4 linked regions of the Callithrix jacchus genome follow. The protein of the gene in region 1 interacts with the protein of each later gene in a biochemical or structural test. Links are inferred from orthologs where the notes say so. Each region holds a gene or a part of one and is shown in the gene's direction. Other genes may lie near its edges. The genes, in order: PDGFRA, PDGFC, PDGFA and PDGFB.

Region 1 (7,618 bases):
CTGAGTTCAAGCCATTCTTCAGCCTCAGCCTCCTGAGTAGCTGGGATTACAGGCATGCATCACCATGCCTGGCTAATTTTGTTTTTTTGTATTTTTAGTAGAGATGGGAGTTTCACCATGTTGGTCAGGCTGATATTGAACTCCTGACCTCAAGTAATCCGCCTGTGTCAACCTCCCAAAGTGCTGGGATTACAGGCATGAGTCACTGAACCCAGCCTATAATTTTTTTTTAATAGGTGATAGAATCCCATGCTTGAAAAACAATCAAGCATAAAGAGAGTGCATTGTAAGAAGCCTCACTGTACCCCTGTTCCCAACTGCCCAGTTCTTCCTTCCTCCCCACAGGGATACACCTTTATTAGTTTTAATATGTTCTTATGAAGCCTTCCAGAGTTTCTTTAAGCAAAATACAAGCAAGTAGGAATGTTATATCCTGTGACCTCTCCACACCGATAGGTAGAAAATATCCTCATTCTATCCTCCAGTGGTATTCCATTGTTTGGGGGAACCACTTAAATGATGGATATTTAGGGGAAGCAAGTATTTTTTTTTTTTTAAGGTAAAAATAAAAGGTTTTTTGTTTTTAAAGAAAAGCTGGTGAGCTGTGCTTATTCATTCAGAAGTCAGGCCCTGGCTGAACTGATAGCTCTTGGAGAAGGCCATTGCTCATCTCTGAAGGTCTGGTTTTCTCTTGTAAGAATTGTGTGTATGTTCCAGACCTTCAGTTTATGCACTGTGTATTGAGAAATCCAGAAAAGAGATGATATGGACAAGAAAAAAAAAAAGATGACTTTACTTTTTAAAGTAAAAATAAAACTTAATTGAAGAGTACAATTGCTTAAATGATTGGAACTTACTTAGCTACTGCTTGTTGAAACAAAATCCTCTTTTTAAAAGGTATCGAAGCCAATTAAAGCTAATCCGTGCTAAGGAAGAAGACAGTGGCCATTACACTATTGTAGTTCAAAATGAAGATGATGTGAAGAGCTATACTTTTGAACTGTTAACTCAAGGTATGTAAAGGGAGTGTAAAGATAATGCTAGCTGTATAGATGAGTGTCTTCCAAGGAAAGTCTGGCACTTTTCTCCCAAGTCATAGAAGAAAAGCAACACTTAAGGGAGGAGCAGTGTCTGTAGATGTCACGTATCAGGGATACCTTTGCTGGACTCATGAATTCAGGTATTTCTGGGAGGTTCTGGATTACTCCAGAATAGGTGGGGAATCCCTAGGCTCCACTAGCTTTCTTTATTTATGTAGAGATATAGGGTCTTGCCATGTTGCCCAGACTGGTCTCCTGGGTTCAAGCTATCCTCCCACTTTGGCCTCTCAAAGTGCTGGGATTACTGGTGCGAGCCACTGCATCCGGCCTCCACCAACTTGCTTGGCACCCGCTTCTCAATATGGCACCTCCAGATCTGAGAAGAGAGAAGTGATACTTTTTGGTTCAGATGACCTTAGATTGTTCTGGAGAGTTTTGCTACAAATTTTCCTTGAAGACATTGTACAGTGGTCCCTACCAGAATGGAAGGCCCAAGTCTGTTTACATTCAGGCTCAGCAACTATCCTGAGTCCCAGCCATGTGCCAGGTGCTGTTTGAGGTGTGCTTATGTGATCCTTGCAGTAAAACCTGTGATACAAGTATCATCGTATCTCTAATTTATTTCACCACAGATATAGAGAAGAATCTTTAAAACCTAATAACAGGCTGGGTGTGGTGGCTCACACTTGTAATCCCAGCACTTTGGGAGGCTGAGATGGGTGGATCACGAGGTCAGGAGATTGAGACCAACATGGTGAAACCCCGTCTCTACTAAAAATACAAAAATTAGTTGGGCTTGATGAAAGGTGCCTGTAGTTTCAGCTACTCAGAAGGCTGAGGCAGGAGAGTCGCTTGAACCTGGGAGGTGGAGGTTGCAGTGAGCAGAGATCGCACCACTACACTCCAGCCTGGGTGACAGAGTGAGACTTTTTCTCAAAAAACAAACAAAACCCCAAAGTATAATATACCACAGATGCATTTTGGTAAATGCTGCTTTAGATTATACTTTAGCTGAATCCATTAATTGAATCCTAAGCTATAATATAATGTTAAGAACCTCCTTGCCTTTCAAGCCAAGTAACCAGGGACTTTCCCTCCCTCCCTGATTCTCTCCCTCCCTGCCTACCTCCCTACTTCCTTCCTTCCTTCCCTCATTCTTTTCTTTTCCTTCCCTCCTTCCCTCCCTCCATCCCTACCTTCCTCTCTTCCTTCCTGCCTGCCCGCCTTTTGTTCTCTTTCTCTCTGCTTTCTTTCTTTTCTTTCTCTTTCTTTCTTCTGTTCCTTTCCTTTTCTTTCTTCCTTTCTTTTCCCTCTGCTCTCTTTTTTCTTCTCTTTTCATTCCCTTCTTTCTTTCTTCTCACCATGTTGCCCATGGTTGCCTCAAACTCCTAGGTTCAAATGAGTCTCTTCCACCTCAGCATCCCAAGTAGCTGGGGCTACAGCTGTGAGCCATCATGACCATGGGCTTCCCACTTTCTTCACTCCAGGTTTAAAACATCACAGACATAAATCTCAAAACCCCAAAACTGTGAAAATGCTGCTAACCAAGTGTGTCTGTCTACACTGGAGTGTTACTTGTACAACTGCTTTCAGCCCCACTGGAGTAGTTTGAATGGCATGTGGATGAGTCGTGAACTCATATTCCACCTTGTCGTCCCACATGTACTGGGACAGGAACTCTTCCATTCTGACTTCTTTCTGCCTCTTGCAGTTCCTTCATCCATTCTGGACTTGGTTGATGATCACCATGGCTCAACTGGGGGACAAACTGTGAGGTGCATGGCTGAAGGCACGCCGCTTCCTGATATTGAGTGGATGATTTGCAAGGATATTAAGAAGTATGGAAAATAGACGTGTCTTCTTTTGTGGCCAGAATCTTTCTCCCTTGACGCAAATGATGTCAAATACATTTTACTTATTGACTGTAAGATAGGGTTTTGGGTGTGATAGCTTCAGGGTGTGTATCTTTTGTCACGAATAGCTATAAAGAGAAGGTCTATGGCTTTCATTAGACGTTCAAAGTGTCTCCAATTTGAAAAAAAGATGAATTTTAAGAACCGCTGTCCTAAGGAGATTTCTACTACCCTGGCTCAGATTTCTTATTTGGTGAACTTTGTTTGGTGGCTGAACTGCATGTAAACATAAATGTGACTGCTTAGTCCCTCATCTGCCCACCTGCTGTTTGGCAGGTTAATTCGCCAGTCCTTCCTCCCTCCCCCAGTCCTCAGACTTCTGAAATGGGCACATAAGCACTGTGTTTACACTTTATCCATGGTAACTGGTTGTGTTGAGAAGCCTCAGTTGCTTCTTCCTCTAGACGGAGACCCCTTATCTTAACCTAGGGCTAAGGATGGATTGGATGTCGTTTCTAGAAGATTCCAGTGTGGAGCAGGAATCTAGGTCTTATAACTCAATCCGAGGATTGCCACAACCGTAGTGACACCTTAGGGGCTCTTCCCAGTGTGGGTGGTGAGAAGGGAGGGCTGCAGGCCATTTTGAAGGGGTGAGAGATTGAGATTATTAAATATGGTTGAAATTGTATTGTTCAGTTTGCTCATAGGTTCAAGACTGGGGACTGGTCATCATATTTTATTAAACTTGTTTATCCCTACCTGCTCAGTAAACAGTTAGCTTTCAGTTGTTCATGTGTGAGTTATTCCCTCTGGAGCATATGCAAACAAGTTTTAATGTTCATTCACATGTGAAATAAGTCAGCGTATAGTGCCCCGAAATGTAGACCAGGTCCCACCCAACCTCTTACCATCTTAGAGAGTTCCCATGGCTCCACTCATCGCCATGACTCTCGGGAATTGGCCCTATACTTAGGCCCTTTTTCTCTTTAGATGTAATAACGAAACTTCCTGGACAATTTTGGCCAACAATGTCTCAAACATCATCACGGAGGTCCATCCCCGAGGCAGGAGTACTGTGGAGGGCCGTGTGACTTTCGCCAAGGTGGAGGAGACCATTGCGGTGCGATGCCTGGCTAAGAATCTCCTTGGTGCTGAGAACCGAGAGCTGAAGCTCGTAGCTCCCAGTGAGTTGCTCAACAGTCAGGACGACTCATCAACTGAGCCCTGTCTCCCCACCATCCCATGGAACCTTGAATCTCAGATAGGGTCATATAGGAATGAAGGTCCTATATGAAATTCAGTTATGAATGCCGTTAAAGGCATCTGGGACTTTGCTTTATTTTTTGAGAGTCTTGCTCTGTCGCCCAGTCTGGAGTGCAGTGGCGTGATCTTGGCTTACTGCAACCTCTACTTGGGACTTTGTTTTAGATTCAGATCCAAAACCACATCTTGCAAAGGCCCCTCAACATTTTACTTGTCTAATAATTTTGTTTATCTAATAAATTTGTCTAATAATTTGGCTTGTCTAATAATTTACAGTCTCTACTTTGAATGTCTGTGTATGTGGATGGAGTGTGGGAAAGAAGGATCTTCTGTCTCATTGCTCCTTAAAGGGAAGATGAAGACAAAAGCAATATAAGCAAAATTCAACTTAAAAAATAAGCTTTATATTAAAGTATATGAAGTAGAAGTTTCTGCCCATATAGTAACTGTCAGTTGCATTTATCCATCTTTTTTTTATATGGAGTTTCACTCTGTCACCCAGGCTGGAGTGCAATGGCATAGGCTTGGCTCACTGCAACCTCCGCCTCCCAGGTTCAAGTGATTTTCCTGCCTCAGCTTTCTGAGTAGCTGGGACTATAGGTGCATAACACCACACCCAGCTAATTTTTTTTTTTTTTTTTTCATTTTTAGTCGAGACAGGATTTCACTATGCTGGCCAGGCTGGTCTTGAACTCCTGACCTGTGATCCACCCACCTCAGTCTCCCAAAGTGCTGAGATTACAGGTGTGAGCCACCGTGCCCAGCCTGCATTTATCCATCTTTATGATTCCTATTCTAATTCTGTCCACAAGGTTACTATTGGAACAACTTTGGAGAAAAAATACTGAGTTTTCCTGATTGAATTTTGTCCTCTTCTTGTATAAGGAAAGAGTTGATGTAGTTTCCTGGGTGTAGATGTTTGAGAGATGGTACTGCCTATCCCTAAAATGAACCAGGCAGCCCTCACACTTCCCCACCAGCATGAGAGATTCCTGGCTCAGACAGCCACACCACCTTGTTGCCGCCCGTGTGTCCTTGAGGAAACTCTCCATTGTGCCTCTCTCTCTTGTCACCTAGCCCTGCGTTCTGAACTCACGGTGGCTGCCGCGGTCCTGGTGCTGTTGGTGATTGTGATCATCTCACTCATTGTTCTGGTCGTCATTTGGAAACAGGTAGGTATTTTCTCATAAAACTAAAGATCTTTGAAGCCAATGGTAACGAGAAGAATAGCAACCAAGTTCAGTGCTTGGCACAGAGAAGGGGCTCAGTATTTATATGTGGAGTGTTCGTTGTCGGACTCTACTTTGTCCAGTCTCTGTGCTGTTTCAGTGAAGCTCTAGTGCACTGGAACTTGTGGTAACTCACCAGTTACCTGTCCTGGTCATTTATAGAAACCGAGGTATGAAATTCGCTGGAGGGTCATTGAATCAATCAGCCCTGATGGACATGAATATATTTACGTGGACCCGATGCAGCTGCCTTATGACTCAAGATGGGAGTTTCCAAGAGATGGACTAGTGCTTGGTAAGTTCCATGGGGGTGACCGCCCAAGACTCCCTTTTCCCTTGCACACAGCTTTACAATTTAGAGGCCTTGGCAGAATAGAGATCTGAGCTCGTGCTTAGTAAGAACTAAGCAATAGAAATTTGCTTTCGGAAATATATTTCCGTCTTGACAATGAGTTAATTGGATCATTGCAATGATTTTTTTTAAATCTCATTTCATAACAAATTATGGTTAAAGAAAATTTTACAAAGGGAGAAGAGAATATGAAGAGGGCTGGCAAAGATACCCACCAAAATTGCTTTGCTTTAGAAATGACACAAACAGAAAATGAGATGAATTTCTGTGACTAAAAACGAGCAGTTGAAAAATGAATGAGGACAACTGCAAAAATGTATTTTGATTCTGTACATTCTGAAGATGCATTAGATATTCTTTTTTATATATTTGGAATATGGAATATAAAAATATAGGTACATTTTAAGGCAAAATGTGTAAAAATAAGGAAGCCAACTTATCACAAGCATTTCAAATATTTCAATCCTGGGCTGAGACCAAGTATGTGAAGCTTTAGTCCAAGGGAATATTTCTTTTTTAAATCACATTCCGAATGAATGAAAACAAGACACAGACAAATGAAAGTAGAGGTAGAGGTTGTGTTAGATGAATGATCTAACAGTATATATGTTAACGAATGCCAAATGCAGGTTTTAATTATCCACCTGTCTCATTCCAAAATACAGAAGAGTTTAAGTCTTCTTAGAGAGTTACTTCAACTGAGAAATCAAGCAAGTCACCAGAGTGAAATCACCTTTGCAAAAATTGTAACTGAGGAAATTATGACAGTGAATGAGATACGATCCAATCAACTCCATCTTGCTTTAGCTTCCAAGCTGTCCTCGTTCCTTCCTGGGCATAGGCCGAACCGACTTTGAGAGGAACTTGGTTTATAGTTTGACTTTGATAGGAAGACAAGAACAGCCCTTTGCCCAAACAAACCCTCTTCTTGCCTGGGAACTAGACCACCTTTGCAAGACTAACAAATTAACTACAAGATTAGAAAAGATGGTTTAAGAATCACTGCTGTAAAACCTGAGGTCAGTGCTTGAGATATTTTAGAGACCCTGTATTTCAGTGCACCAGCTGACACCACCCAGGTCTCATCTGATCTTGTGGCCTGTAACTAGGAACTGACTCAGCTCAAGAGGCCAGGGTCAGCTACCTATGATTTCATCTTTGACCCAACCAATCAGCACTCCCATTTCACTCTCTACCCACAAAATCATCCTTAAAAACCCCATTCCCTCAGTTTTCAGAGACACTGATTTGAGTAATAATAAGATTCCAGTCTCCTGTACAGCTGGCTTTGTGTGAATTGAACTCTTTTTCTATTGCAGTTCTCCTCTCTTGATAAATCCGCTCTGTCTAGTCAGTGGGCAAGGAGAATCCATGTGTGGTTATAAGAACTGATCCCAATTTCAAATACTTATATCTAAGCATTCTTTATTTTCTTGCCTATTTCCCAAAAAGGGATGAGGAGCTTAGGGAGTTAAAAAGTGGTAAAATAGGCCAGGCATGGTGGCTCCTGCCTGTAACCCCAGCACTTTGGGAAGCCAAGGTGGGCGGATCATCTGAGGTCGGGAGTTTGAGACCAGCCTGACCAACATGGAGAAACCCTGTCTCTACTAAAACATACAAAATTAGACTGGCATGGTAGCGCATGCCTCTAACCCCAGCTACTCGGGAGGCTGAGGCAGGAGAATCGCTTGAACCTGGGAGGCGGAGGTTGCAGTGAGCTGAAATCGTACCATTGCACTCCAGCCTAGGCAACAAAAGCGAAACTCTGTCTCAAAAAAAAAAAAAAAAAAAAAATAGTAAAATGTGGGGAGAAAGGCACTATTCCCATTATACCAAGATACATTGCTGGCGAAGCAATACCTTTCGAGGTACAATTTCCAG
Region 2 (6,968 bases), about 100 Mb from region 1:
TTTATTGTTATTATTTAAAGGCTTTGTAAAATTTAAAGTTGACTCCTCAAGAAGGATGGTTTCCTGATACACGTTTGGTACCTGATGCTTCTGGAGAAGATGGGATATAACTGAGGAAAACTAAAAGATACTGTAGCGTGATAATGTATTAATAAGATTCTTACTTTTGTATCAATCACTGGATCTCTTTGTGGGAAGACATTTTAGCCAAATAAACATATTTTCATAATGATTTTTCTAAGTCTCAAATAAGAATTTTCAGAAAAGCAAGTCAAGAACTTTATATACATATAAGCTTAGATGTCATATCTTCCTTGAAATGCTGGTGGCCTACCAGTTCTAGCATCTTTGGTGCATCTATAGGGCTTTAAAGATACTCTATTAGAAAACTGTTACCATTTCAAAATTATCGTCTATTTTTCTTTGTTTCTATTGAATTGAGAAGTAAGGAAAACAAAAGTCACATTACAATGTAATGCTTGAGAACACAAACTCCAAAGCTAGACATCCCAGATTAGAACATAACATTTGTTTGTTGTGTGACTTTGAGCAAACTGCTGAGCCCTTGTGCCTAAATTCCTCATCTGTAAGGTGAGTCTCCAACCATCATACTTTACTGTGAGGATTTAGTGGGTTGATATTTACAAAACACTTAGAATTAGGCCTAGCAATTTTCATGCCCTTAATATATATTTACGACTGTCTCACTCATCTTTACTTTTTCACCATGCCTAGTCTTATTCTTTGATTATAGTAAATGATCAGGAAAGATTTTATAAATTTTGCCTTGAAGGAGGAAAGGTGTTCTGGCCAAAAGGTCTACAGGACACTCTGACAATAGTATTTGTTCCATTTTCTCTGTTCTTTGCGTAATCATTTTCATCTTCTCTATATTTTTACATATTTAATTTTTTATGAAATAATAGTCTTACAGGCTATTATTAACAAGCAGACCTAAAGAGGTATACCATTCAATTGTCTTATTCTAATACCGAGTCTCTGTTCCCAGTGCTCTGTGGTTCTCAGAAGTTTAAGGTCATTTTGTTTGAAAGTGTTGAGCAGTGGTCCATAAGCACTTGTCCTTTGCTGGTTCTCTGTGTCTGATCTAGTATCTTCCATAATCTCTGACTCAGCTTCTCCCTGGACATTACTTTTCATGGAATTATTTTAATTTCAACCTCTAAATTTTCTGAGATGAACTTCTGTCCTGTTTCTTTTCTGGTGGCATAATTTATGTCCTTTTCCTTTTTAATATTTTCTGGAACCTGCTAATCATTTTCCAAGTCTACTTTTCTCTTCCAAGTCAAAACTTTCAAAACGAATTAAAAAGAAGAACATTAATTGTGTCCTTCACCATTAGAATTTCTTATCTAAGACTAAACTTACTAGAACATTAGGAGATTCTTCTACTCTATGTAAATCTCCATGAGCATCAGCAGACAAAGACAGGGGACTTTGATTCAGCAAATGCATCTTGGCATATGTATGCTAGAGGAAGCAAGGATTGCAGCTTGGCCTTTCTGAGTGCTAGGACTGTGTATGGTAGCCTCTCTAACCTTTACCTTACATAGTAATTTTTTTCCTTGCTGAATGGAAAATGCATACAGGTAGATATAGGAATTAAAGACACTGGCTTTGCCAATATTTTAATTTATCTTACCCACCCAGCCTCATTCCAGAAACAGTTTGGAGCAAGACTGTGATAAGGAATAGTGCCAGTATCTGAAATGTAGCTAGCTTGATCCCACCCTAAATTGTTGAAAAATAGTACATCGGTACGAACATAAAATAGTACTCAGTAATCACTGAGTTAAATATCACATTAAAAAAATAAAGTTTAAGTAAGTTTTATTCTAGAATTGTGAAATAAATGAGAAAACCACTTCTACTTTAAAAGTTTACAATTTCTAATAGTTATTACAAGACTTTGAAGTTTATCTCTTCAGGAAGAAAGTTACTAAATAAATAGAATGTTTGAGCAGTAATATTCTGAGTCTATAAAATTATTATCCATCACTCTAATTTAATAATTCATCTTTGGCCTAAGTACAAATAAAGTCGGTGTCACTTATTCTCTCTAAGCCTCTGTTCACTCATGTGTAAAATAGGGGTAATGTAAATTACTTCATAGGATTCTTTTGAGTTAAAGTATGTAAAAACATTATTATTGTGCCTGGCACCCAGTAAGCATTCAAAAAATGTTAGCTAATTAACCTCTGATATTACCACATACTCCAGCGAGGTACGCATTCTCTGTTTTTCTTTTAAGTCTCTAAATAGAACAGTCATAAGACTTGACTTGTGCCTTTTTGGATTAATGCACATTTTCAGGAACAATAGCTTTTAGAAGTTGCTTTATGACATTATCTATCTCATATCCAAAAAGGAGAGATGCTAGAAAATTTCATATTATTTTGTTCTCTAGCCTTTGTTCATAATCCAAACAAAATACAATTTCTTAAACTTTGTTGTTTCTCTCATAAGAAATAAAATGTAATACATTAAATAGGTAGCAAAATCAAATACTTCAAATAATATTTTATAGAATGCACAACTATATCTTTTTGTCATAGTTTTAAGGGGAAATATGTGTACTGTAAGTGTCAATCTTGCTGTATTTTTACTAAAACCCTTGACAGTCCAAACTGCAAATGAGTTTATTTAATAGAGGCATTATTGTTATTATTGCCAAACCTCTTCTCACTGCACAGTAGGATCCAGCTGCAGGAAGTTAGCTGAGACTGGAGCTGATGTCTATGAAGTACATCTAATCCATCTCATCAAGTTTATAGAGGACTTGAAGTGTAGCCAAGAAAATTAATGAGTGGCATAATTGAGCAAACTCAGCTGTGGAGTGATCATGTTTCTTTCCACAGAATTTCTGTACTTGAGTGTATTGCATCAAGTATAAATATTTGTTAAGTGTGTGAATCAATGAATAAGTGAAAGAAAGCAACAAACAGAAAAACGAATTGTGTATTGGTAGTTCCAAAATACTGAAGGTGAAATTCTCTCTAATATAGTCAGATAAAGAAAATAACTATTGCATGGTGAGTCTTTCCATTTAAGTACTGTTCCTTATTCGGAGACAGAATGCTTCCAAATTGTTGGCATTAGAATGTCTGTCCTTACCTGAAATGCTGATGATAAGTTATGAATTATTTTTTTTTTGGTAGGGAAGTGTTTCCATAATGCCTCCTCTTGGAAAAATTAAAATTTGAGTCATTGTTGGGCCCCAAGATTCTTTTATAAAACATTACTTGTTTATAAAAGCAAGTCATAGACATTGATTTTTAAAGGTGGCTTACTATTGTTCCCTTTCAGGTCCTGCAGTTGAGACCAAAGACGGGTGTCAAGGGATTGCATAAATCTCTCACCGATGTGGCCATGGAGCACCATGAGCAGTGTGACTGTGTATGCAGAGGGAGCACAGGAGGATAACCACATGACCACCAGCAGCTCTTGCCCAGAGCTGTGCAGAGCAGTGGCTGATTCTGTTAGAGAACTTACATGTTATCTCCATCCTTAATCTCATTTGTTTGCTTCAAGGACCTTTCATCTTCAGGATTTACAGTGCATTCTGAAAGAGGAGTCATCAAACAGAATTAGGAGTTGTGCAACAGCTCTTTTGAGAGGAGGCCCAAAGGACAGGAGAAAAGTTCTTCAATCGTGGAAAGAAAATTAAATGTTGTATTAAATAGATCACCAGCTAGTTACAGAGTTACCGTGTACCTATTCCACTAGCTGCGTTCTGTATTTCAGATGTTTTGATATGGCTTAGGGTAATGTCAGTAGAGGAAAAAACTGTGCAAGTGAGCACCTGATTCTGTTGTCTTGCTTAACTCTAAAGCTCCATGTTCTGGACCTAAAATTATATAAAATCTGGATTTTTTTCTCATATTCACATAAGTAAATGAGAACATTCTATGTACTTACTACAAACCTAGTTTTTAAAAAGGAACTATGTTGCTATTAATTAAACTTGTGTCATGCTGATAGGAAAGACTGGATTTTTCATATTTCTTATTAAAATTTCTGCCATTTAGAAGAAGAGAACTAAATTCATGGTTTGGAAGAGACAAACCTGAAAACAAGAGTGGCCTTATCTTCACTTTATCTCCAAGTCAGTTTATTTGTGTTATTGTGTACATTTTTATATTCTCCTTTTGACATTATAACTGTTGGCTTTTCTAATCTTGTTAAATAATATCTATTTTTACCAAAGGTATTTAATATTCTTTTTTATGACAACTTAGATCAACTATTTTTAGCTTGATAAATTTTTTCTAAACAGAATTGTTATAGCCAGAGGAACAAAGATGATATAAAATATTGTTGCTCTGACAAAAATACATGTATTTCATTCTCGTATGGTGCTAGAGTTATTCTGCATTTTCAAAAACTGAATTGGAAATCAATAGAATTGGTAAGTTGCAAAGACTTTTTGAAAATACTTAAATTATGATATCTTCCATTCCTGTTATTGGAGATGAAAATAAAAAGCAACTTATGAAAGTAGACATTCAGATCCAACCATTACTAACCTATTCCTTTTTTGGGGAAATCTGAGCCTAGCTCAGAAGAACATTAAGCACCTTGAAAAAGACTTGGCCGCTTCCCAGCAAGGCGTGCTGTGCTATGCTGTAGGAACACATCCTATTTATTGTGATGTAACAGTTTTATGACCTTGCACTCTGTTCCATACACTTATATAAATACATGGATATTTTTATGTACAGAAGTACACCTTTAACCATTTCACTTATTGTACTCTTTGGCAATTGAAAATCAGTAAACTATTTTGCTTGTAAAATGCTTAATATCGTAACTAGGTTATGTGGTGACTATTTGAATTAAAAATGTATTGAATCATCAAATAAAAGAATGTGGCTATTTGGGGGAGAAAATTAAGTGTGTGTATGTGTGTGTGTGCACTCAAGATTTACCTCTTGGACTCTGAGAAAATGAAAGCAATAAAGTATTGTGTTATTATTTTCATTATGCAAAAGCATATGTCAATTCAAAGGACAAAAAATGGAGTATTTCTGTGAGCCTTTCTCTGCTTCTTGTTTCCAATGCCTTTGAGCAGTGGTTTTATTTTTCTCATTGTGTCTTAATACAGATTTCTGGTAATTTAAATTTCACCTGACTTGAAAGTTGTTGTATGGTTTATGAAATACTTAGTGATAGGTTATATGGTAGTATAAAACTGGAAAAAAGAAGCTTGGCAGCTTCCACTCTTGTTTTCATTGTCACTGGCCACTACTAAATAGGGTGAGCGTAAATTGATTTGGTGTATAGATTATTTTACATAGCACACATCAAGGTGTGGTTCCTCAATTCCAGACATAGATTCTTATTCAGAGCTGGTATCTTCAGCATCATTTCCTCAGCCTTTCAATTTGCCAGAGATGTCTAGTGTCCAAGGCCATCTGTCTTCATCCGACTCCTCAGGCAACCACCCTTCTCCTGTGCTTTCACACCTTGCAGGTCTACCCTGCCCCCAACTACATGAAAAACAAAGGAACAAAACGAGCCTATGTGTTCTGCCTTACTTGCTTACCTTTTCCTAGTTTTGTGCTATCCATATAGAGGCCAACTAGATATAGCTCCATGGAATATGCAAAGTAGTTGGCAATTTACAACTTTCATTAGCATAGTAAAGACCACTAAGTCTTAGTAAATGGCCTGTTTAACTATGTTTAATCCAGTGTTTCCAATCTCTTTTCCCTTTTTTAATATTTATTTTTTGTTTACTTATACAATGTTGACAGCCAGAAGATACTGTAAAGGTAGCAGTCCTCACACTGTTGCTGGTTGGTGAGTGGTTACCATGTGAGGACTAACCACTTTATAATCACTTACTCATAGATCCTGTGTATTTTACTAAAAGGAAAAAAATACATAAATAGCACGTGTGACCCAATTTCTGAGAAGTCCAGTAAGTATTGACTGTATTGACCACACTCTGCTTTGTATATGATATCTGTGTGTTTCATGCCTTTGTCCTCGAGTCATGGGCTGCCAAATGACGTTTCTTAAACAATTCTTAAATATCATAAGGCAGGTGTTCATGTCCACACTTTTCATTTCTGCAACTCATTTCTACATCCCCTCCCTCATCTAATAATTCTCATGTGCACGTGGAAAAGGTGCAAAGACCAAAGTAACGAGAAGCTACACTGGAGAAATATCTGGCATGATTTGGTTAGCCTCGGTGCCTCCCTGTCTCCAGGTGCATTGACTTAGGTTTGTGATTCGGTTTAACAAAAGGCAGAAAATGCAAGTTTTACACTCAGTGTAATATCATTATCTCTAAAAGGATAACGTGATAGTCTCCCTTCTGATATTTTAAACTGTTTCAATTATGCATTATAAAGACGGTTAAAATTATAACATTCTTTGCATTCATAACAAGGAGTAGGAAAAGTCATGGTCAGTTCAGGCTGCTGTAACAAAATACTATAGACTGGGAAGCGTTTAAACAACAGAAATTTATTTCTCATCATTGGAGGGTGGAAATCCAAGATCGGGACACCAGTATGGTCTGATTCTGGTAGGGCCATCTTCTGAATTGCAGACTCTCCTCTCTGTGATGTCTTCCCTTTGTAGAAAAAATGGTGAGAGAACTCTCTGTGCACCCTTTTGTATGGGCACAAGCTATTCCTTCACAATCCTCCACCCTCATGACCTTACTACATCCCAAAGGGTCCACCTTCTAATACCATCCCATTAGGGGTTAGGGCTTCAAATACAACTTTGAAGGGATACAAACAATCCATTGCAATGAATAATTGCTTTGCATCCTGTTTTCCATACATGCCCCACATGTAATCTATTACGAAGTCTCAGTGACTTTGACTTTTTGATATTTCTTGTATTTTTGTTTCCCTTTCCATTTCTGTACAGTGAAGCTCTTTTCCACCTTCCTTTCCACTGGCAGCACTGCCATTGTGCTTCCAGGAATA
Region 3 (8,066 bases), on another chromosome or scaffold:
GGGCCTGGTCTCAGTGCTGTGTCCTCAGCACTTAGCACAGTGCCTGGCACATAGACGTGTGTTGAAAGAACGTGTTGGTATTTCCTAGAGCAAGCCTCTGAGCTGGCTGTGGCCCACAGGAGCAAGAGGAGCCTCTGGGAGGCCAATATTGAAATTAATTGTAATCATGTTTATTTAACTCCTTATATCCAAAATGCTATTTCAACCTGCAATTCATACAATCATTCCCAATGAGAAATTTTGCATGCTTTACTCAGCCTTCTAAAGCTGGCATGTGTCCTGAACTTACTACACTGCCACTGTGCAGTTTGGACCTGCCATGTCTCACGTGCCCAGCGGCCACTCGTGGCCGTCCCTCCTGGACAGAATGGCCCTGGTTTAGCTAGACTTTGCGCTTTCATTTCTTGAAGCCACGAAGTGTCCTTTCATACATGTCTTCATTCACAGAATGTTAAAAAAATGATTGTGGGCTCATGTGCTATTTTCAACATCAGTTCTATTGTATATTTAAAAGAAAATAAAATGATTTAATAGGGAGTTAAAACGACACCGAGAGAGAGCCATCTCACCCTACTGGCGGGAGGGTGGGGTGGGTTATCTCCCTTTCTGGGGAGTGTGAACTGGAAAGGCCTGATCCCTAGTCACTGGGGGCCTGAGATAATGACTTAATTAACGCCCGCGCTGGACAGTTTTGATCTTCAAGGAGTCCAGCCCACGGCTGGGTTGCTTTTGGATTAATTGCCTAGAAGGAAGAAAGCCTTGCCCAGAGATAAAGGGGAATGTGGGGTTTCGTCATTACAAATTGTTCTGAAATCTGCTCTGGCACGGGGGACAGAGGCCTGGATTCGGGCGCCCAGCTGGCCCTCCCACCCCCACCCCAGGGGCACACAGGTGGCCAGGAGTGTCCTAACCCAGGGCATCCCAGTGCAGCTTTTCCTGGGCGGGTGAGTGGAAGGAAGGTTTCCTGACAGAGGACACAGCTGTGCGTGGTGATGCTGTCGGCTTCCCATGTTTCAGAGGAGGGAACGGACACCCAGGGCAGTCTAGGGACAGATCTCATCAAGGCCAATGTCAAGGGACAGAGAGCAGAGGGAACTGGGATGGGGGGCGGTGTTGGCTGCTACGTGGTTCCCGAGTGTCCACAGCGTCATTCCTGTTCCTGCCTGTCCACTCCGGTTATAAATGCCCCTGAGAATTGAGGATCCTATCTATTCATCGAGGTTGCAGAGGTGCCCTGGGGTGCCGAGCCCTGCTGCTCGGGACTCGGTAATATGAGAGGCAGCAAGTATGCGCTTAGCGTTGATATGTGAGTGTCCATGAAATTATACAAGGAAATAGCTTAGCACTTGGTGCAATTGAAGTCGCAGTAAATGTCAGCCATTACTACTACTACTAAATTACGACAGGAATAGCTCTGCGTCCAAGCCGGGACGGCCCCGGACGCGCAGCCTCAGTGCGTACGAGGGAGAAGGGTTGGGCTCGGCGACAGCCTATTACCTCTGCAGCCCCCTATCCTGAGAAATGGCCAAGGCTCTTCCCGCCCTTCCTGGGTGCCAGGGTCGGTCCCGGGGAGGGCGGAAGGGAACCAGTCACGGGCACACGTCCGGCCACCCGCCCCGGCTGCGCGACAGGCCCCCTCGCTCGGCCTATTTGGGTCACCTGACTCACGGTAATTATGGACCCGCGGGCACGTCGGGGCGCGCCGGGAAAGGCAGGAAGCACCGGCTCCGGGGGCGACCGGACATCCCAGGCCGCCAGGTGCACCGCGCCTCCCACCAGCAGCTCCCCGCACCCCCTCCCCGCAGCGCCGCCACTTCCACCAGGGGCCCCGGGCACACCTTGGGGCGCCCACGGACTCCTAGACGCGCGCCGCAGCCCGGGGTGGGAGTGTTTCTGGGGAGGCGCTCGGGGCGCGTCTCCTTCCCGCAAAAAGCCAGCTACCCCGGGTCGGCGCCTCTGTCTCCCGGGCCTGGGCGGGGACGCTCCGCGGAGCCCAGAGCGCAGTACCCACGCGCCCAGGCCGCGGCCGCCCACGCCTCCTCCGACGCAGGAGTATATTTAGCCTCATTATCAAATGTTTGCAGTGAACTGTGTGAACCGACTAATAGCGGCTGGAAGCGAAACTCGATTCCCAGCCAGAAAGAAGCATGTGACCGCCCCCATCTGCAAGGAGCGCTCAGGGCGGGCGGGGCAGGTGCTGCAGCCTCGGCGCACAAAACCCGCCGGTCGGGCTCGGGTCGCACCGTCCGCTCCTGGGCCGGGCACCCGAAACCCACCTCCTCCCTCCGCCTCCCTCTCCCGGGGCTGAAATGAGGACGCTGGGAGTGTGAATGGAAACGAAGGCCGGGGAGGGGGTTCCACGTGGGCGCGGGTTTCATCCAAGCCAGTGACCTCTTGGTTAAGTCAGTCCTGCGATTTCAGCGCCCAGCCCCCGAAAAAAGCCTGTGGGGGTCCATGTCTCCTTGTTTTTTTCTGGGGACCCGGAGGAGAACGGGGCGGGACTGATAGGGGATCCCTGTCCCATGCCGTGTGGGCTGCGGGCTCTGGGGCACGCAGTGCCCCAAGTCTCCCCCGAAGGCGGCTGTCGCGCGGCTGCATAAGTTTTCCCCTCCCTCGCACGGCCGCTGTTGTTGTGGTCACCATGGCGACGGGTCGCGGTTTTATTTTTAATAGCGGCCGGCGATTAGAGAGATGCCTGCACCGCTTTCGCCTAAGCTCTGCGTCCCGCGGGTGATGCACCCACGCCCCACCCCAGCCCCCGCCTCGCTCCAGCGCCGCTTCCACGTCCTCAGGTGGCCCTAAACTCGAGCTATGCACACCCGTAGCTCCAGGACGGGCTGGGGAGCCGAGGGAAGCACCCATCTAGACCCCCAAGAGGCGGCGAGAAACACCAGGACCCAGCCAGCTGGGACGGGTCCTCCATCCCCAATACAACGCGACCTTCCTCCTTGCTTTCCACACCGTCACCTAAGTCTTCTACCCCAAAAAGGTGTTTTCGGCCCCCCTCTGCCCACAAGGGGTCCGAGACCTAGCAGGACAGGGTGCGTGCGACTCCGGAATAACTGACCGAGGAATGAGGCCGGGTCTGGCTCCTCCCAGAAGCCATCCAGTGGGCGTCCCCTCCCGAGCCGCACAAGTTCCCCCTGGAGGGACGAGACTTGGCTTTCAGGTGCTTCTCAACGTGTCCGGCTCCCGCGTGGTCCTGACTACCCAGAGGGGGTCTCGGGCCGGGGCTGCGGCCAGGGGAGGGAGAAACCTGGGAGGGGGCCTGCAGGTGTGTGGCAGGGCGTAAGTAGACGCGACTCACTGGGAGCAGTGAGAGAGGCCCCGCCTGCCACATATCTGGGGGAAGGCGAGAGCCCCCGAAGCGCCCTCCGGACTCGGCCTTTGAAATGCTAGAATCGGCGGAGCTGGGGATGAAAGACCGCCCGCGGGCCTGCGCCTTAACCGCCTTTGTCTAGAGGAAGGGCGGCCGCGGCGGGGGCGGGGGCTTAATCCACGGAATTGGGGGTGACGGCTGGGGCGGGCGTAATTCTCCTCGGCTGCCCACCCACGGGAGCGTCTCCTAGTCTCCAGAGGCCTAGACCGTCTCGCTTGAGGGTCTGCACTGCGCGCTTCCCCCCCCCCCACCTCCGCGCTGAACCCGGTACCAGGGCGCGTAGACCCTCCGGCAGGGCACTGACGGGCATCTAGACCCGGAGTTCGGGTCCAATCCCACCTGGTCTAGGGAGGCGAAATCATCCCGCCCTGGCGCACTCGCCCTTTTTCGGCGTGCAGCCGTCTAGCCACGCTCAGACCTCGGCCTCGGCGCGCGTTCCTCCCACGCATAGCGCTCTGAGCTGCGCCTCGGCCGGAGGTGGCGCTCTGCGAGTCCCGCGGATCCCGACGCCGGAGGCTCAGAACCCGGGGACCCTCACCGGTGCCTCCTTTTTCTTCCAACCCCTCGACTTCACAGCTCAGAGCGTGGCCCTGCCTTTGGCGCGGGAATAGGGGTCTGGGGGGCGCGGGGTCCCAGGGTGGGGATGAGACGGGCTGCAGCCCCTTCCCCCGACCTGGGCTCGTTCCCAAGTGGAAATGTGGGTGGAGGGTCCTCATTCAGAAGCCCCGGGCTTCGGATCCTGGGCGGGGGCGCGTGGCGGCCGCCAGGTGAGTGTCCCAAACCCGTCCCCCGCCTTCCCCAACGGCTGACTCCCCCTCCTTTTATGGAGAGGGGAAGGCTGGGGCCCTGGATCCCAACCGTGGAGAGCGGCCGGAGCGCCGGGGCGGGGGCGGGGGCCGGCTCTCTCGCCCTTTTTGGCGCAGCAGCTCTGGGCGCTGCCGGCTGCCGCCGCTGGGGCCCGAGAGAGGCGAGCCGGCGACGGCGGCGCTTCTGCGGCGGCCTCCTCCCTCCCCACCCGGTGCCGCAGGATTGCAGCTGGCACTGGAGGGTGGGCAAGATTGAGGGAGGGGCGCGGAGCCCCGGCGCGGAGCTGGGCGCGGGGCTTTGATGGATTTAGCTGCCTGCGCTAGCGCGTGTGTACGCCCTGCCGCGGCGGCGGCGCCCAAGCCCTGCCGGGTCCGCACGAACCCCGCGTGCTTCCGAGGTGCGGGTCCGGGGCCCGGAATCCGGGGGAGGCGGGGGGGGGGCGGGGGCGGGGGAGGGGCGCGGCGGCGGAGCTATAACCCTCTCTCCGCCGCCGGCCGGCTCCACACGCGCGCCTTGCGGAGCCCGCCCAACTCCGGCGAGCCGGGCCTGCCTGCGCCTCCTCCTCCTCCTCCTCCTCTCCCGGCCGCTGCAGCGGCGGAGGCGCCGGCTGGGCCCTGCGCCCGCCCTCAGGCCCGCGCGGGCGGCGCAGCGAGGCCCCGGACCGGTGGCGGCTGCCAGGCAGCTCGGCCGCGGGCGCTGCCCGGCCCCGGCGGGCGGAGGGCGGAGCGCGGCGGCGGAGCCGAGGGCGCGCCGCGGAGGGGCGCACGCAGGCCGCCCGACCGCGCCGTGCTGGGCCGTGTTGTGCCCGGCCGGGCGGCGGTTGCGAGAGGAGGCCGGAGGCGAGCGCGGGGTCGGCGGTGGACGCGCAGGGCCGCTGGCAGCCCTCAGGGAGAGCGCGAGCCCGTAGCCAGGGCCGGGCGTCCAGACAGGTGATCGGTGGCGCGGCGGCGGCCCCAGCCTCCCTCCAGAGTTCTTCTCGGGGACCGATGCCCGCAAATATTCAGAATTACCGGCCGGGTCGCTCCTGAAGCCAGCGCCGGGGAGCGAGCGCGGCGGCGGCCAGCACCGGGAACGCACCAAGGAAGAAGCCCAGCCCCCGTCCTCCGCCCCTTCCGTCCCCACCCCCTACCCGGCGGCCCAGGAGGCTCCCCGCGCGGCGGGCGCGCACTCCGTTCCTCCTCCTCCTCCTGGCTGGCGCTGCCTGCCTCTCCGCACTCACTGCTCGCGCCGGGCGCGCTCTGCCAGCTCCGTGCTCCCCGCGCCACCCTCCTCCGGGCCGCGCTCCCTAAGGGATGGTACTGAATTTCGCCGCCACAGGAGCCCGGCTGGAGCGCCCGCCCCGCGGCCTCGCCTCCCCGCCGAGCCGCCAGCGCCTCGGGACGCGATGAGGACCTGGGCTTGCCTGCTGCTCCTCGGCTGCGGATACCTCGCCCATGCTCTGGCCGAGGTGGGTGCCGCCCCCGCGCCCAGTCTCTGCGCCGGCTCCCCGGCGCACACCCCCGGAGCCCGCCCGCCCGCCGGCTGGGACGACACGGGCTCTGCAGAGAGCATTTCGGTTTCTGCTAGGGTGGTCCGTGTTTAAATTTTCCCAACTGGGTTCTATTTTCTGCCATACCTAAGTGTGTGGGGAGTTTCCAGCGTGTTGCGTCGCTCTGCCTCGGGGGGAACCGGGGATCAGCGAGGTGGACGAGTGGGGAGAAACTTCGGGGGGCGCTGGGGCCTCTCCGGAGAAGGGGAGCTGGGGCTCTGCGGGCGCTGCGGCAGCGGGGTGTGGGGAGCGGGGAAGGGGGTGTGTGTGTCTGTGTGTGTGAGCCGGCGGTGCCTGGGGAGGAGGGAAGGGCGCCCGATAAACAGGTAGGGGCGGCTGCTGCGGAAGCCCCTGGCCGGTAAAGGTGGGCAGCGCCGAGCCGCAGCCCCCGGGTCCGGGTGCCCGAGCCCGGCGGGGCTCAGGGGCGACGCAGTCCCGCCCGCCCGGGCCTGCTTACAGGTGGCTGAGCGAGGAGAGCTGGGGCCGGACCTGGCGCCCGCACCCTCCCACCGCGGCGTCCCCGCCCCCCCATCCCCATCCCCATCCCCGGGAGCTTTGCTGTGATGAATGACTTTCCACAGCCCCCGGCGTGGGAACTTAGTGCTTCAGGCTCCCCAGCGACCCCCGACTCTCCTTAAAAATCAAGAAGGGAATTGGGTGAGGCCAAAGGTGAGGGTGGTCTCGGCGGGGCCCGGAGCTGGGCGAGGTGGAAGTTTAACCCTCGCTCTCCCTGAAGGCTTCTCCCAGCCGCCCGCAGGCTGGATTTAGGCATCTCAGTCGGCGCTAGGGCCGCGGCTGGGCCGGAGCCCGGGGTGGGGCGAGTGTGTGAGTGAATGTGTGTGCGCGCGTGTGTCTGCGCGCGCGCGTGTGTCTGTGAGACGGAGAGACCTCTCCGCGGCTTCGGCCCGGGATTCCGGGCGTGAAATTTAAGCCCTGCCTGGATTAAAGTGTGAGGGCTGCCGTGACTCTCGCTGATCCGTGACGCATTTTAACTTGATCTTTCTAGATGTTGATCTCACTCTTAAATCAGAAACTCCCGGCCGCCTAGCTGCCCTCAGATCTTCTGTAACTGACACCCCGGGCGGAGGGGCCGGAGTGCGGGGCTTTTGTTTGAAAATGTAAAGCGGGGGGGACTTTGATTTTGCCAAGGGCAGACCATGGACAGGGGTGGAGAATTCGTGGTCTTCTTCCAGCCCCACCCCCGGCTTCTGGTTCCAGGGCCGGGGCGAGGGCTCCCTGGGGTCTGGGGCCAGGGCTGCGGCCGGCGCTCGCGGGGTCTCCTCGGGCCCTGGGCCGCGGGCGCTGACCCTGTGGTCTCTGCTTGCAGGAAGCCGAGATCCCCCGCGAGGTGATCGAGAGGCTGGCGCACAGTCAGATCCACAGCATCCGGGACCTCCAGCGACTCCTGGAGATAGACTCCGTAGGTAAATCGCGCCCCTTCCCTCGGCGCGGGGAGGTGCGGGGCGGGCGGCCTGTGCGTCCCGTGCGCCCCGAGCTGGGGCCGGAAGGGGCGCCGCACAGCGCACCGAAAGGTCAGAATCCAATCCCCGGCCCTAAGCGCCCAGGCGGATGAGTCAGGAGTTTCTCTTTCAATCGCCACTTTCTCTCCCAGTCGCGGTCGAGGGCTGCTCGCTCGCCCAGGGATTGTTTTCGCCTTGAAGGAAAACGCCGCGTGTGTCACAAAAAGTTCAGCCTCGGCGCCCTCGCCAGGTGTGCCGGCCCCGTGCCTGCCCTGGGGCCGGAGGAGCGTCGGTAGCCCGCCCAGGCCCTGGGCGCGGAGCCCTGGCTAGTGCGCCAGGCGGGCAGCCCGCGGAGCGAGGCCCCAGGGGCAGGCGCGGCTACCTGACCCAGGGGCGGGCGGAGTCCGCCCCCGATCAGGGCCCGGCCCCTTTGTAATCCCTGGGAGCTGGTGCGGCGTTCTTGCCGCAGGGCTAGGCCTTTGTGGCTTCGGGAGGCCGGTGTCTTTCTATGTTCACTACCTAATAAAAAGCCGGGACTTGGACGCATCTGCTGCCTGGGGGCTATTTTTGCGTCTCACCCTCAGGCCCTGAGGCCGAGCCACTAAAGAAAACAGTTTATTTGCAAGGACAGAGTTTTGGGGCGAATGTCAGCTGCAGAGCTGGACTCGACCCGGGTTGGCAAGGGTTAAAGGGGCTTCTCACACCCGGGGGACCCCGGTGGACCACGTTGGGTGGGAGGGGCGGGGGTGTAGGGTGGCCGCCCGCCCCCTCGGGGCTAGGTAGCCCCTTCCCAGAAGGCGAGGTCTTTCTTCCAGGTCCTTGTGGCGCCCTTTTCAAAATGCACACTTGGCTGGGGAACTGCAATCTGAGCTTTAACCAGGGAAATCCTCGT
Region 4 (8,087 bases), on another chromosome or scaffold:
GGCGGGAGCCTTCCTGGTTCTCCCATTCAAGTGCTCCTGAGGTTGATGAGACCACGTGCATTCAGGGTGGCCTCCCCAGAACTGCAGACCCTCCCCAGTTCTGACACCTCAGGAAGCGGAGCCCCTCAGGAGCCTCGTGCTGCCAAGTTTGGAGGCTCATGCTACAAGCCCCCAACTCTTTCCACCCTTTAGGAAGGGCCTGGCATCTCTGCAATAACTGGTCAGGACTCAGAGAGAGAAACAGACAGGGTCTTAATAATTTATTCATTCCTTCAGCAAGCAGGCCCCTCTTGAACAGCCACTGTATGCTGGGAGCTGGCGGGAGGCTGGAGCACGCTGGGCTCAGTCTAGTGCTAGACTGACGATCGGGCCATGATGAGGCCTGGGGTGCACGCTGCGGGAGCCTGGGACAAGTGCCAAGACTGGCGGGCCTTCTGGAGGAGGTGCCTGCTATGCCCAGCCTGGCAGGAGGAAGAGGAGCAGGTGTTCTTTATTTATTAAAAGAATATTTTTAGGCTGGGCATGGTGGCTCACGCCTGTAATCCCAGCACTTTGGGAGGCTGAGGGTGGGGGCAGATCACTCGAGGTCAGGAGTTCAAGACCAGCCTGGCCAACATGGTGAACCTGTCTCTACTAAAAATATAAAAATTAGCTGGGTGTGCCTGTAGTCCCAGCTACTCAGGAGGCTGAGGCAGGAGAATCATTTGAACCTGGGAGGCAGAGGTTGCAGTGAGCCAAGATGGTGTCACTGCAGTCCAGCAGGACTTCATCTCAAAAAAAAAAACCCAACGTTTTTAGAGATGGAGTCTCACTCTGTCACCCAGGCTGGAGGGCAGTGGTGCGATCTCGGCTCACTGAAGTCTTGAACTCCTGGGCTAAAGGGGTTCTCCCTCCTGCCTCAGCATCCTGAGTAGCTGGGGCCACATTCAACTTTTTTTTTTTTTTTTTTTTTGGTACTTTTTTTAAAGAGATGAGGTCTTGCTATGTTGCTCTGGCTGGTCTCGGACTTATGGCTGCAAGTGATTCTCTGGCCTCAGCCTCCCAAATTGCTGGGAATGCAGGCGTGAGCCACGGCCCCGATGCGGTGTTCTTTAGAGTCTGCTCCCCTGCAAGGAGAGGGTACAAAAAAGAGGATTTTAGCACAGCACTCAGGCCCGGCTGGCGTGCAGTCCCTGCCACCTCTGCTGTGCCCTCTGCTGCCACTTCTAACCCATGTACTGGCACCTGCATTGCCATGGTTTGCGTCTGTCTTGCTCAGAGCCTGGGAAGTCCCTGAGTGCCAAGGCTGGGTCTCCTTCCTATTCCATTTCTCAGGGCTTCACCCAGGGGCCGCACACAGTAGGTGTTCCACGCTGCTGCTCCTAGCAGCCTTCCCTCTCCCCCAACTTGTACCTAAGTCAGAGTTCATACAGGTCCAGCATTTACTTTTTAGCCGGCAGAGCATGTTCCCATACATGAATGCATGTAGTGTGCACCGAAGCAAGCCCAGTGTCAAAAGTGTCATCGTTGTCATCAGCATCACCCACCAGAAAACAGCACAGCACGGTGGTTTCAGCATGTGGGCTCTGTAGCTGGTCTGCTCAGATTCAAGACCTGGCCCTACCACTTATGGGCTGTGTGACCTTGAACAAAAGTTTCTTGGCCTCTCTGTGCTTCCGTTTCCCCATCTGTAAGATAGGAATGACACATCTCACAGGAGTATGGAGAGGCTGCAGGTAGAGTAAGGAAAACACTACCTACCGCCTTAGCTCACTACTCATGGTAGCTGCTACCATTCTATTTATAGAGCAGGACACAGAAGTTCAAGGTCAAGATGACCCAGCTATCTGGTGGAACAGGGTTTTTATCTCTGAGTTGTTAGACCTTAGATTTCAAATACAGTGTTTAGGGATAATCTCCTCCTCCCCTTGCCCCACCTCCCTTGTCACCTTGTCTCCTAATTTATCTGTTTATACATCTGGTTGTCCTTCTCAACGGGGCTCTTCAAAGATAGGGGCCTGAATTAGGTTGGTTCACTCCTGTCTCCCCAGGGCCTGGAGCAGTGTGGGGCCACCAGTCAACTCCAAGGCCGCATGGAAGAAGCCACACACTAGCTTCCTGCTGAGGTGTTCTGCTGAGCACCACATGGAGGATCTCATGGGCGCCTCCAGACCACTCTACGAGGTGGGTGAAAATTCTCTACGTATGTCCTGAGGTACAATAAAGTGCACACATTTTGTTCTGATGTACGTATCCACCCACAATCCCATCACCACCATCAAAAATGACAAACATTTCCATTACCCCTAAAATTTTGCCATGCCTCTCTGATATCCCTCGCCCCTTCCAATTCTAGATTTATTTATTTTTTTAGAGATAGGGTCTTGCTCTGTTGCCTAGGCTGGAGTGCAGTGGCACAATCACGGCTCACTGCAGCCTCAAACTCCTGGGCTCAAAGCCTCCCAAGTAGCTAGGACTACAGGTGTGTGTCACCACACCCAGCTCCAGTTTATAAAGGAGGACACTGAGGTGCTGAGAGGTTAAAAAACCTTCCCAGAGACACTTGTCCAGCGAGTGGCCACTCCAGGATTTGAACCAAGGTGATGTGTCCTCAGGCTGCCTCTCTGCCACTGTGCCATGCCGCTGAGTAGCAGTCAGCAGTGGGCGGGTGCCTGTAGTGGTCTGTAAAGACCACCTGAGATGTCCTCCCTCCTCTGTTCCACCATGTCCAGGTCCATGAAGACAGTTTAGGAAGAGACTGCAGGTGTGACTCTCAGTGTGCTCCTGTATGAGAAGCAGGCTGGCACCCCAAAAGGAAGGATGGATGACAGACAGAGACTGTGTAAGCAGAGGAGGTAAGGGGGCCGGAAAGCCCGGAGGCTGGGTGATGCAGGAGCCTGCATGTCCCGAGGAGGGTGCTGGGCCCAGCGTGAGTACGTGTGACTGTGACTGAGACAGTGTGACTGCTGAAGGCAGGGACATAGCAGCTCCCTGACTGGGGGCGGAAGGCGGTAACTGTGTGAAGGCTGGTTGTGGGTGGGTGGGCTCTGGGCCTCGAACCCGGGGCTGAGGGAGATAGTGAACAGCAGGGTGACTGGCGGGAGGATCCTGTTGGTTGCCCTGGGAAGATGCCGCAAGGCTGTGGGAGATTGTGTGACTTTGCAGTTCAACACATTCAAATTCAGCCAATGCTGGCAGGGCCTGTTGTGCCAGGCAACCGGCGAGGAGGAGGAGACTCGGACCCAGCTTGCAGCTGAAGGGCGCTGGCTGCCTGGTTTTGTGGGTTCACCTTGTGGTGCCTTTTGCCCTTGCTGGCATTTAGTCCTCAAAATAGCCCCATCCTCGCGTTGAGGCTAGATGGAGGGAAACGGAGGAAAGTGACTAGCCCAAGGTCACCCAAGTGCCAGGGCAGGACCTGAATTCAGGCTCCCAGGCTGCAAAGCCTGAGTCCCTCCCCGCCACGCCTGTGCCAGGGTGGAAACGTCTGGTCCTGGAGGGGAGCTTGGACTCCTGGCCTTGGCTCTGGAGACATCCCCCTGGACCACGTGGGCTCCTAACCTATCCATGGTCACTGTGCTGAGGGGCGGGACGGTGGGTCGCCCCTAGTTCTTCTTTCCCTGGGGCCAGATTCATGGACGAAGGGGCTGCTCGGCTCTCAGAGACCCCCTAAGCGCCCCGCCCTGGCCTCAAGCCCTCCCCCAGCTCCCGCCCCCCTCTCCTGGCTCTGACTCCGGGCCAGAAGAGGAAAGGCTGTCTCCACCCACCTCTCGCACTCTCCTTCTCTTTATAAAGGCCGGAACAGCTGAAAGGGTGGCAACTTCTCCTCCTGCAGCCGGGAGCGGCCCGCCTGCCTCCCAGCGCGCCCGCAGCCTCCCCCGCTGCCTCCCTAGGGCTCCCCTCTGGCCGCCAGCGCCCATTTTTGATTCCCGAGATAGAGATATTTTGCGCGCACACACATACATACACGCGCAAAAAGAAAAAAAAAAAAGCCCACCCTCCAGCCTCCTTGCAAAGAGAAAACCGGAGCAGCCGCAGCCCGCAGCCCGCAGAGGACGCCCAGAGCGGCGAGCGAGCAGGCAGGCAGACGGACCGACGGACTCGCGCCGCGTCCACCTGTCGGCCGAACCCGGCCGAGCGCAGAGCGGGCACGCCGCGCGCGCGGAGCAGCCGTGCCCGCCGCCCGGGCCCCGCGCCAGGGCGCACACGCTCCCGCCCCCCCACCCGGCCCGGGCGGGAGTTTGCACCTCTCCCTGCCCGGGTGCTCGAGCCGCCCTTGCAAAGCCAACTTTGGAAAAAGTTTTTTTGGGGAGACTTGGGCCTTGAGGTGCCCAGCCCTGCGCTTTCCTATTTTTGGGGCCTTTCCAGAAAATGTTGCAAAAAAGCTAAGCCGGCGGGCAGAGGAAAACGCCTTTAGCCTGCGAGTGAAGACGAACCATCGACTGCCGTGTTCCTTTTCCTCTTGGAGGTTGGAGTCCCCTGGGCGCCCCCACACGGCTAGACGCCTCGGCTGGTTCGCGACGCAGCCCCCCGGCCGTGGATGCTCACTCGGGCTCGGGATCCGCCCAGGTAGCGGCCTCGGACCCAGGTCCTGTGCCCAGGTCCTCCCCTGCCCTCCAGCAACGGAGCCGGGGCCGGGGGCAGCGGCGCCCGGGGGCCATGCGGGTGAGCCGCGGCTGCAGCGGCCTGAGCGCCTGATCGCCGCGGACCCGAGCCGAGCCCACCCCCCTCCCCAGCCCCCCACCCTGGCCGCGGGGGCGGCGCGCTCGGTTTACGCGTCCGGGGCCCCGCGGGGCCGGGCCCGGAGTCGGCATGAATCGCTGCTGGGCGCTCTTCCTGTCTCTCTGCTGCTACCTGCGTCTGGTCAGCGCCGAGGTGAGTTGCCACGGCGGCTGGGGCTAGTTCTTCATTCATTACCTTCGCCCCCACCTTCTCACCGCCCCCTCCTCTCCCTGCAGTGAACTTTGGACCCTTGCAGCCCGCGAGCCTGACGCCGGGCTCTGGGTGACCTCCTCGGGCTGGGAGCGAGGTCCGCGGGTGACAGGCTCTAAGGGAAGGCAACAGCGGTGGTTTTCTTTCCAACCGGCGGGCGAACCTGGCTCCCTAAGCCATTCCGCGTCGGGGGAGGGTGTGTGTGGCCCTGCCCCCCACCCCTCGGGAACCCGAGAACAAGCCCGTTCCCGGCCGGGGAAGAGGGGGTGGGGTGGCGCCCCGGGTGCAGAAGACAGCGCGTCCTCCCGAACCCACTTCGGCGCCAGCCTCGGCTTAGGCTCTGTCCTGCCACCGGCTTGCCCAGGAGGTGCAAGCTTGCGCACAAGTGCCATCCACGCCGATCTCTGGCGGGGTTCAGGTCCCACCCTGGCTCCCGGTGGGGGTCCGGGTGGGCGCCCTCCGGCACGCGCAGGGCATGCCCGGCCCCAAAGCACTGTCTAGAAGCAGCTTGTGTCTCGAGCGCGGGGACTGGGGGGTGGGTAACCGGGAGAGAGAGAGCTAGAGGGCGAGACGGAGGGACAGAGGCGCAGGTAGGTTTCGGGCACTCGGGTAGGGGAAGAGCTGAAGGAATAAGGGGCTCTGAAGGAATCCAGCCCCCGGGGCGCTGTGTGCCTGAGGCCTCGCCGTACCTGTGCCCGCGCCCTGCGAGAGGAAGCACCTCTCTCCCCCGCATGCAGGGTGCGGAGCGCGCCGCCTGCAAAAGCCTAGCTGCACAGGAGATAGGGTATAAAAACATCTGCGGGAGCGCTGGGGTCGGAGCCGTCCCCACCCCTCCCAGCCTCACGTAGCGGTGAGTTGGCAAGTCTCCCCGGAATCCAGGTGGGAAAGGGGGCGGGGCGGGAGGACGCGCGCAGTGAAGGGGAGGAGAGGGCAGCCGGGAGCGCGGCGTGCCTGGGTCCCGTCCCACCCCCGCCCGGCCGCGGCCAGGAGTCCCCACCTCGCCCGCACCTCTCCGGCTCCCGGGGGGTCGGCCCCTGCAGCCTCCTGCCAGGAGCAGGAAGGAGGCAGCGGCGGCGAAGGGGTTAAAGCAGAGGGCTCGGAGTCCGCGGCCCGCCGTTGGGCCGCCGCCAGCGCAGGTTGTTTTGACCACGGAGGAGCCGTCGCCGTCTCCTTTTGTTCTCGGGGCTCCTCGAGGGCCGCAGGCTGCCCGCCCGGGGGCCCCGCCCTTCCGCGGCGGTCCTCAGCGGCCGGCACCCGGGAGGGAGGACGCGGGTCTCGGCCTGGCCGCCTGTAGGCCCCTCCCGACACCCCCTCCCCTCCTCTCCCGCAGCCCCCCGGGCCGCGGCCAGCTGTTGGGGAGGGGGTGGCCGGCCGGCCCCAGCTGCCGCCTCGCCTCGCCGTGGGACCTGGGGGCTGGGCCCGGTGCCAGGGCGTCCTGGGAACGGCGGCGCCCCGCGGCTGCTCTCCGCAGCCCACCCCGCCCGGGCCCCCGACTCGCTCACTCACCCCACGCATGCACACTCCTGGCCGGAGGCGATGCTGCGCTCCGGCGGGCGGGCGCGCAGAGCGACGGGCACGCACTACCGCGGCCAGGTCGCGCGCCCGCCGCCGCCACGCCCGTGCACACGCGGGACACACGCGCGCGCACCGCACACAAACGCACGCACGGCCCCTGCACGCGCTGTCTAAACACACGTGCGCGTACACCCACGCACGTACACAGGCACGCATGGACCCCCGTGCACCCAGCGCCTGGTGCTCGCCCCCGAGCAACAGGTGGGTCCCCCGTGGGCACCGGCACCTCACCACCTCTGTAGTAGCTCCATTTCCTTCCTGGCGTCCTGTGAGGGAGGAAGAACCTCCCATGAGGCCCCAGCTCCACGGCACCCACTGTTTTTTGCCTTGTCAGGTCAGCCCCTCAAACCTTACCCATGTACAACTGCTTTTTTTTCAACCACCTCCTCGTGGCGGAAAATGGTGGTGATGTGACTCTGAGGGGCACTGAGGTGTCCAGACCGATTCCCGCCTCGCATAAGCCATTTCAACGTGCAAGGCTGGAGGGACCTGGCCTGGGCAGCTGCGGAGAAGGCTCCCACCCCTGTCTGCTTCATTCTCTTGGCTGATCCCAGCGTGCCCCTGGGAGGCTGCTGCTGACAGCTGGATGTTTCCCCAGCCTCCCCTTACCATTTCCAGCTCTGTCCAGCACCTCCTCCTCCTTTCCCACAGCTCTGCAGGCTCGTGTATCTGGGGTGGAGGCTGCCGCACAGAAACTGCCTTTCTCCTCACTTTTGTCACAGCATTCTTGAACACATGGCCACAGGCACTGTGTATGTGGTGCTTTGCGGTTTATGAAGCACTTTGCTGCTAAGCCCGAGTAAGCCGCAGGCTAGCCCTAGGGGAGGAGACCTGCATGGGGATCACAGCATTTGGGGGCCAGTCTGGGAAGGAGCTGTGATGGCCAGTGCTGGGAGAGTCGAGGCAGGCCTGCTGGTGGAGGAGGCCTTGGCCACCTCCTGGTCATGCTTGGACCAAGCTTTCAGCGGAGGGCAGGCAGCCCTGAGGCAGGGCTGGGCGGAGGGTCTGCTGAGGCCTGTGAGGTGCCATCGCCACCCGCTGAGCTGGTTTCCAGGAGGGCGAGTCCCGCTGTCATGACACGTCTGGCCTCAGCACCCTTCTCTGGAAAAGAGTGAAGGGCTCCACAGCGCTTCGCCACCCAGCTTCCTCTGGGTTTGCTAATGGCCCTAGGGTGCAGGAGACCGACTGCTGGAATCCCAGAGCCCTGGAGGTGTGCAAGAGCAGGTCAAACAGAATTTGGAGGGTCTGGTGCAAGAGCCAGGAAGTGTGTGTGTGTGTGTGTGTGTGTGTGTGTGACAGAGAGACAGACTGATTGAGCAGGAACGCTGAGATGTTTACAATGGCCTCATAAGTACCTCTCCAATCTTGTCTTCCCCTCCCAGCATTGAGGAGCCTCTTCTGTGGCAACTCTTCCCATGTTCTGCTTTATTTCATTGCTTATTACCTGCTTTCCCCACTGGAATGTCAACCCCATTGGAGAGCTTTCCTCCTGGTCCCCACTGTTAGAACAGTGCCCAGAGCACTGTGGACAATCAGCAACTATTTGTGCAAAGAACAGTGAGTGCTGGGTTGCGGGGGAGGACAGGCCCAGGCCTCCTAGGTGC

What was found.
Region 2: the proteins of PDGFRA (region 1) and PDGFC form a complex in vitro, tested with the Homo sapiens proteins (2 studies listed by BioGRID and IntAct, with this or other methods). The link is inferred for Callithrix jacchus from reciprocal best matches to the Homo sapiens genes PDGFRA and PDGFC.
Region 3: the proteins of PDGFRA (region 1) and PDGFA form a complex in vitro, tested with the Homo sapiens proteins (2 studies listed by BioGRID). The link is inferred for Callithrix jacchus from reciprocal best matches to the Homo sapiens genes PDGFRA and PDGFA.
Region 4: the proteins of PDGFRA (region 1) and PDGFB form a complex in vitro, tested with the Homo sapiens proteins (3 studies listed by BioGRID). The link is inferred for Callithrix jacchus from reciprocal best matches to the Homo sapiens genes PDGFRA and PDGFB.

Annotation. Positions count from the first base shown.
Region 1 is NC_133504.1:142,481,453-142,489,070, reverse strand, and holds part of PDGFRA (platelet-derived growth factor receptor alpha precursor), read left to right. Parts: intron 1-897; coding exon 898-1,013; intron 1,014-2,751; coding exon 2,752-2,878; intron 2,879-3,883; coding exon 3,884-4,077; intron 4,078-5,233; coding exon 5,234-5,328; intron 5,329-5,547; coding exon 5,548-5,680; intron 5,681-7,618. UniProt on the Homo sapiens protein: Tyrosine-protein kinase that acts as a cell-surface receptor for PDGFA, PDGFB and PDGFC and plays an essential role in the regulation of embryonic development, cell proliferation, survival and chemotaxis.
Region 2 is NC_133504.1:39,643,845-39,650,812, forward strand, and holds the end of PDGFC (platelet-derived growth factor C), read left to right. Parts: intron 1-3,324; coding exon 3,325-3,441; 3' UTR 3,442-4,907; downstream 4,908-6,968. UniProt on the Homo sapiens protein: Growth factor that plays an essential role in the regulation of embryonic development, cell proliferation, cell migration, survival and chemotaxis. Potent mitogen and chemoattractant for cells of mesenchymal origin.
Region 3 is NC_133503.1:58,739,615-58,747,680, forward strand, and holds the start of PDGFA (platelet-derived growth factor subunit A), read left to right. Parts: upstream 1-3,824; 5' UTR 3,825-4,022; coding exon of another isoform or gene 4,023-4,074; coding exon 4,075-4,146; intron 4,147-4,316; exon of another isoform or gene 4,317-4,486; coding exon of another isoform or gene 4,487-4,583; intron 4,584-5,352; exon of another isoform or gene 5,353-5,503; coding exon 5,504-5,633; intron 5,634-7,041; coding exon 7,042-7,134; coding exon of another isoform or gene 7,135-7,138; intron 7,139-8,066.
Region 4 is NC_133502.1:210,043,164-210,051,250, reverse strand, and holds the start of PDGFB (platelet-derived growth factor subunit B), read left to right. Parts: upstream 1-3,791; 5' UTR 3,792-4,788; coding exon 4,789-4,851; intron 4,852-5,441; exon of another isoform or gene 5,442-5,498; intron 5,499-5,643; exon of another isoform or gene 5,644-5,758; intron 5,759-8,087. UniProt on the Homo sapiens protein: Growth factor that plays an essential role in the regulation of embryonic development, cell proliferation, cell migration, survival and chemotaxis. Potent mitogen for cells of mesenchymal origin.